2 linked regions of the Daphnia pulex genome follow. The protein of the gene in region 1 interacts with the protein of each later gene in a biochemical or structural test. Links are inferred from orthologs where the notes say so. Each region holds a gene or a part of one and is shown on either strand. Other genes may lie near its edges. The genes, in order: leucine-rich repeat serine/threonine-protein kinase 1-like and eukaryotic translation initiation factor 4E-binding protein 1-like.

Region 1 (3,691 bases):
TTTCTAAAAAATTCCGAATAAAATGGTTTATTTGGGGACTGGCTGCAATGCCTAGTCAGCGTTTCCCAAAAAATGAAAACACCCCAAATCCCCGAATCCGGCCTTGATCCTTGAGTGGTGGAATAATTGTTAATTCTTTTCTTATCATCGGCATAGCTTCCAGAAAATTTCGGGGTTTTGCGATTGGAAACGTCATACTGGCTCTGCGCGTTGTAGTTCGTGTAGAATGACTGTTATAGGTTCCTCCGTCTGTCGCTACTGGGTCAATCAAAAAATTTGATTTTATCGAAAATCATATCATCAATTGGATCGGTATTCGTAAATCGTAATTAGTGAAAGAATTAACATCCTATACACATTACACAGAACGACTATATAGTGGTTCGAGATTGCCATCTTGGATGACCGGATTTCCCAGATTGGAGCAACCTCAAACCGGAGGCATTGATATTGTCCATAGGAAGAGGCGGGAAGAGGGTACGAATGGAAGGACAGTCAAGGAAGGGAAGAAAGGGGTCGGTCCCTCTTTTTTTCACTCTCCCTTTGTCTTTCCATTCGTACACTTTTCTTATGGATGGTGTCAATGTTTGAGGTTGCTCCAATCTGGGAAATTTGACTATCCAAGGTGTCAACCTCGAACCACTATATAAAAATGTCGTTCTCAGTCGTTTTAAAAATAACTTCAGACTTTCAAAGTTTTATTTACTAATGAATACACAGGAATAAATCATGACATGTAAAGACAAATTTTACGGTGAAGTTTTACAAAGTGGTATCAATAACTGACTAATCGAAAACAATCGAATTTTTAAAAGAATAGCTTCGTCGGTTTGATCGAGAAACAAAGGTTAAAAAATAAATAAAAAAGTAAATACATGATTTTGAAATATCTGTCTGTCTGTCTGAAAATTGAAGTTAGTTTCGAACTTAAATCCAGTCACCAGCTCTCCATAAGAGGACTTGCATATTTCGCTGTCGCTCTGACATACTAGGAGCTGAAGAACTCTTAAGATGTGACCAAGATCCATAACGATGCAAAAGATTTCGATAGCCTTTGCCAATTGTTGCAACTAGTACAGACTGTTTTTCTTTGTCTCTGTCATAAGAACTAAGAGGAAGAATGAGACGGACTTCATCTTCATATGGGCGGAACACTGTTATTGGACGCAGGGATGACGCTTCAGCCACGATAAGGCAACCCCAAGTGGTTCCTATGTATAGTTCCCGACCTTGAACGGCAAGACTCGTTACCTGAATGCAAGCGAACCAAGTTAAACTTTTCGAATGTTCGAAAAATGTTTTAATGAATCCGTACCTGACATCGTCCTGGACTAAGATGCTCTTCAATGCTTATCGACTGTAGTGATTCAGAACAAGGGGCTGATTCAAGAAAACGAAAAATTATTTATACTACAAAAATAAACAAAAATAATGTTAACAAACCAAGTTTGGAACAGTCAAGACGATGAAGAATACGGCGAGTATTTGCACACCAACGATATACGACACACCCGGGATAAACGTACGACCACACTACTGGACTGGTAGTCTCTGCTAGATTTTCGTAATGAGTTTCTTCGTCATAATCGAAGACGTCAACATCGTTTTCGATTAACAAATTGTCGACAGCTACCATTTGGAGCACTTCCAACCCAGGCAAGACCGGATCGTAATGATTTATCACTTCTTGCCCCGTTACAACGCCTTCTCCCAAAACGAATACGCATATGCTACCCTGTGATTGTCCGCACCACAACTCCACTTTTCTATATGAATCGTGATAGCAGATTACTAAGTGAAAATATACTGCCTCTTATTATAATTCACAGTATATTTACCCCTTGGTAGTGGAGTAAATTGCAGCCATGCAGTGGAGTGGTGCCCCACTTCCACCAAGTCCGAGTTCAGTCATGACGAATGTTCCTTCACCTTGCGTCGACATTAACGGAATGAAATCATCGCGGCATAAAAAAAGACGACCATTAGCCAAGGCAACAGCTACTCGATGTAACAAAGGTAGATGTATAAGTCGTCGAATTGACGCAGTGCTAGAAGAATCTGGTTCAAGGGCGTAGCGGAAAAGACATTGGTATGTCCGAGTGCTAGACATTTCAATAAAGGATTCAAAGATCAATTGAATATTACAAATTAGTTTACGTGATATTAGAGATATCATACCTGAAACAGAAAATTTGTCCTCGAGCGTCTCCAAGCCACACAGAATCACCGACAAGACATGCAGCAGTAATTGGCTGATCTACTTCACTTTGAAGAGAATAATAATCCAGCCAAGAACCACATCCGTTTGCGATTTCGGGAGGCTGACTTGATGCAAGTAGAAGGTCAACCTAGATTGCTTTTTCCTATTAGCCACAACGTATGTATTAATATGCTAGTACTTCAGTAACATTACCTGGCAAGCGGTACTGCTCAACCAAAGTTCATGAAGAGATTCATCTGTGGTGTTGGGTACGGGGACAGCAACACCGTCCGTGCAAAATCCACTGTGGTTTAATGAGACGACATCCAACAAGTGAGTAAATTCAGGTGCTGAAGCGATAGATACTATCTGGGAAGCAGTCGGTCTGTCTTTTGGTTGTTGACTCCAGCACAAAACCATTAGATCAAGTAGATACACAGGATACGTTGCATCCTAAAAGATAGCAGAAAATAACATAACAATAAAAAAATTTTAAAATAAATACAAGGAACTCACCCGAGGAGAGATCGAAGGCCTTCCCCCTTCCAATATGAACTCTTTGACCGATTCATGGCTTTCAAAAGGTTGGCGCAAAGTGAGTAACTCATACAAAAACATTCCAAAAGAGAAACAATCCACCTGTAACGATCCATTAATCATGAATACTCAATGAAAAAGAAAACATTCAAATTTGTATACTTTGTCGGTGTACTCTTCTTCGCCATTAAATCGCATTATTTCGGGTGCCATGAAACCTTCAGTTCCTCCAAAACCTTTCATAATTTAAATCTCTCGTCTGAATTTTTAGCTTTAAATAACTTATCAAATATGTCCAACCTTTAGCTCCGGTAGGCAATGAAAGCCGGGAAATACCATAGTCGGCTAATTTTACATCAACTTTAGCGTCCGTTTCCCTTTCGCCGGGACCAGGTAAAGCCCACACTAGCACATTTTCTGATTTGAGATCGCGGTAGATGATTCGTTGTTGGTGCAAATACTCTAAAGCTTTTGCAATCTGGAGAGGAATTATGAGGATGATTGCGTTCATTAGAAAAAAAAAATATTGGAAATTCCACGTTAAAACGGACAAACCTTGCCACGGTCATACTCCCGATTTAATTGTTTTATGATAATCTTTTAATATAGGTTAAAATTAGATTTTTTTGTCAAAGGGTTTTGAAAAATAAGGGGATGTGCGGACGTAGCATCAATCTATATTTTTCGTGCACAGCTGATACTGTATTCATTTTCATTGCAATTTTTTGTATTTTAAACTAAAAGAAAAAAAAAACTAATGATCACAATGTGTTAGCGGAATTATAACTTTTAGAAAAAAATTGCGTAGATATCCAACCACCAAGGTGGCAGCACCATCGTTCCAAACGCTAGCTTTGAACTATGCGCTAGTTATGACATCGCATATTTTTTAAAATTTTTTATAACGGATCATTGTAGTCCGACATACAACAAAGATGGTTACCCTAGCTTCAG
Region 2 (3,551 bases), on another chromosome or scaffold:
ACCGGATGGTGGGAGCCGCGAATCAAAGTGAATCTTGCCGATCAACTCCCAGGTAATTTATTTTTGTTCGGTTGTTGTCTATGTCATCTATATGCATTTCCTTGCATAAAATTCAGAAAACACTTATCTCACCGTCCAACCTGGTCGATACCTGTTTCCTGGTGCTGAACTCTTCTATGACCCAGACGAAGAGGTAGAGTCCGATTCTGACTCATCCTCTGATTCCAGCGATTCGTCTGGAATTGATGGAGGAGATTCAACTCAACCTTTCCCGGAGCATGGAGTAAAAAGGAAAGCGATGGATTGACGACGTATTCCGAAGCAACGACAAAGCTTCTGTTTTTACCATTGTTATGTTAACAATATGGATTCTATTTAAAAGCTTCAAGCGTGTGTATATAGACGAAATCTCTCGATGGTATTTAGTATTTCTTTTTTTTCCTGTATTATGGATAAGGGGAAGTGGAATTTTCATTTTTCTGTGAAATCTTGGCAAGCTGTTCTGAAATGTTCAGTGCAATCTACCTCACCAATCTTCAAGAAATAATGGCCATTATCTATTGCACCTGCAGAAAGGTGGTCGGCTATGTCGGGTACCGGGAGAGGGTGAGCATGAACTATTGATTAAATTTCAAATATTTCCCTTAAATTACTTTGAAATGTTCTACTAAATGTATGTATGTCTTGTCTGTATTCGCGTTTACACTTGTTCTGTATCCATCAATTTATTTGAAGCACAAAACAAATCCCCCACATAAAAAAAAACTTCTCCTTGAACCAAGAAGGGAAAATAAACCATGACTTCTTTTTCACTCTAATTTGATGTTCTAGTGAAATGTCATAAAAATCAACCATGTTAACTGGGAAAAAAAAATTCAATGCTTCTTACAAGCAGAAAAATTGCATCACTTTATCTTGATTTAGAACTTGTTTGCTGACCAAGTTCAAAGAATATTGAAGTCTACAGATTATTTGGATTTGTACTTGAAACAAATTCAAATATCCATTTCGAATTGAGGTTCTTCCTGTTTCTTGTCTTCAACTGCAATAGAATTAAGTATTATTAGATATAAATTCATAAAACAAGAAGTTTTTAAAAACCTTTTTCAATTTCAACAGTTGGAAGCTCCACAGGTTTGTGCTGTACAGTAACATTTTTCTGCCCATTGATCAACTTGGACTTCTCTTTGTGAGGACTATCGCATGTGACACCAGGAATTACAGGCAAGTTTTTGGGTGGAGTCCTGGCGACAGGGGAATTGCGCATTTGCAGCAAGAAATTCCTATCATAGATAATCTTTGTACCTAAAGAAACGAAAGGTGTGATGAATAAGCTCAAGAATAAAAAACTAAAGAATAACTGTTATTTTAGAAACCACACAGCTGTGCCTGTCATAAGGGCACACCAGACATCATAACACCCATTCCTAAATACCTCCAGGAGTGGTTGAATACAGAGTTCCATTGGGTGTACTGGAGTAATCATGTGGTAATTGACTGGCATCATTGATGAGAATTCGTCTTGGGATGGCTTGACCTTGGGGTTGAGCGGCCTGGCGAGCAATTGGTGACGCTGACATTTTGGCAGTCTAAAAAGAAAAATAGTGATAACCAAAATAATGAACTACCGCGTGGCGATCAAACATATGGTGTGTTGCTATGCGAAAATAAACTACCAAAATCTCATTATAACTAAATATTTAATGTCATGCATAGGACAACAACTTACTTAACACCATGTGTCTCAACTTACGGCGTATAAATGAAGAAGGCGTATGGCAGGTGATCTGGAAAAATTAAAACTCAGTCTATTATTTACAACTGGGAAGTGCGTCGAAACTGGAGAGCAATACGTCGCAAGTCCAGCACGATATAACTCGATTTTTTACGCAAGGGAAATCGATTACTAGTTTTTACGAGCACTACATATTACATATTTTAAGCGATAAAATGATAACAAATATGTCTGTATGGACTTATTTATTTTTCTTTTGGATAAAATAAAAAGATTTATAGAAGTAATTATATGTACGCCAATACTATTTGGAAAATTACTGAAGTTTCACAACAAGCAGATCTGCAACAAGTTTCCAAGGCAAGCAGAAGAAACAAGAAGCAGACAGACGACAACGCTTGTTTACATTATACCAGATTATGTTGTCGTTGTCTTTGTATTTCAATAAAAACCACTATGGTCTATTAACTGACAGTTAATAGACCATGAAACCACGTTGAAATATGGAAGAAAACTTTGATTAGAGAATCAGAATTTCATTATACAGTTTTTAAATAGAAGACTGATGCATTTTCAAGAGGAAAACTTCACTCACAAAGTCAATAAGTCACAATACGCAGAAACAAACCGAGATAGGAATGTTTTACGCCATCTAGTTTCAATATCCCGAAATCTTTAAAAAAGAAATATGATTTCAACCACATGTCAAATTAGTCAGTTTCAGCTACTTTGCACATCCCTGTCAAAATGTATCGGCAGTTGTTTTGTGGTAACTTTTTGGTGGTGACTGACGATAACTATTCCACCAACAAAGCTCACTTGTTAGTTAATTTTTCGATATATTTCACGGAGATGACGAATGTTTGGACTTTGGTTTATTTTCCGTCCTACTCGTCTGTGAATGCTAAGGGATGTCACTAGGTGGCTAAATATTTCAGTGTGTTTAGGGATTTAACTATTTAGCCCTGGATTGGTAAGGGGTCATCAAATTTTTGAGACGATATTCCATTCCACATTTCTTTTTCTTCAAGACGCCGTCCGAGAAGGTTACCTTAGCCATTGAGTTATGGCGGGGTACTTTCTTTCCTCACATTTTTCAATGGTAATTCCTGTTTTTTTTTCAACAAGGTTACTAAATTAAAATTTTGTGTGTGCCGTGTGATTAATTTACGTGTTACATGTTTAAAACTTTGTTTCTGATAGTAATTGAGTTTTAATTTTTCTATTAACAGTCTGGTGTGAGCTTCTTCATTGCATTACGTGCACGTGATCGCTGCCTCGTCATGGAGAGGGTCTCTACTGTTTTGCAAGACAAATAATACGTTGAAAAGAGGAAATTTAAAAAGGTAATTAAGTACTTGTAAGCTAAATCGAAAGGCAATTAAGTACCATTTTAGCATTTTGTTCTTGATGTCGGAAGACAAGTGACAACTTATTTCGGTTTTCCATGTAAGACCGCTTTTGTGAAAAGTTTTTTGTTAGTTAGTAATTAAACACAACCACAGAATTAGAATTTTGCTTGAATTTAAGTCTACATAAGTGTGCTACATATGCTTGTTCTTTGCTTAGAATTAACTTGGGTAGTACATAAAACTCTTGATTTATATTGTCAAGTACTGAATGCTTAGCTTTTGTGAAAAATCTTGATCAGCTTGTGTTGAGTGGGTTAGCAATTTGCTTAAATGTAAGTCTACATATTTGTGCCACATATGTGTTTGCCTATAATTAACTAAGGTTGTACATTGAACTCTTGATATTAACTTGACAGTTGAAAAGTACTTTCTGCTTCTAAATAAGACCTCGTGAAAAAAAGGCA

Evidence for each region.
Region 2: of the proteins of leucine-rich repeat serine/threonine-protein kinase 1-like (region 1) and eukaryotic translation initiation factor 4E-binding protein 1-like, one has a biochemical effect on the other in vitro, tested with the Drosophila melanogaster proteins (2 studies listed by BioGRID). The link is inferred for Daphnia pulex from reciprocal best matches to the Drosophila melanogaster genes Lrrk and Thor.

Annotation. Positions count from the first base shown.
Region 1 is NC_060026.1:7,733,329-7,737,019, forward strand, and holds the end of leucine-rich repeat serine/threonine-protein kinase 1-like, read right to left. Parts: intron 3,216-3,691; coding exon 3,038-3,215; intron 2,974-3,037; coding exon 2,900-2,973; intron 2,840-2,899; coding exon 2,717-2,839; intron 2,654-2,716; coding exon 2,414-2,653; intron 2,349-2,413; coding exon 2,179-2,348; intron 2,103-2,178; coding exon 1,839-2,102; intron 1,767-1,838; coding exon 1,444-1,766; intron 1,381-1,443; coding exon 1,316-1,380; intron 1,252-1,315; coding exon 928-1,251; 3' UTR 682-927; downstream 1-681.
Region 2 is NC_060021.1:10,711,517-10,715,067, reverse strand, and holds eukaryotic translation initiation factor 4E-binding protein 1-like, read right to left. Parts: upstream 1,914-3,551; 5' UTR 1,754-1,913; exon of another isoform or gene 1,730-1,753; intron 1,590-1,729; 5' UTR 1,581-1,589; coding exon 1,436-1,580; intron 1,306-1,435; coding exon 1,102-1,305; intron 1,043-1,101; coding exon 996-1,042; 3' UTR 659-995; downstream 1-658. Other genes in the region: NAD-dependent protein deacetylase sirtuin-1-like, read left to right, coding at 1-52, 117-307. UniProt on the Drosophila melanogaster protein: Repressor of translation initiation that regulates eIF4E1 activity by preventing its assembly into the eIF4F complex. Hypophosphorylated form competes with eIF4G1 and strongly binds to eIF4E1, leading to repress translation.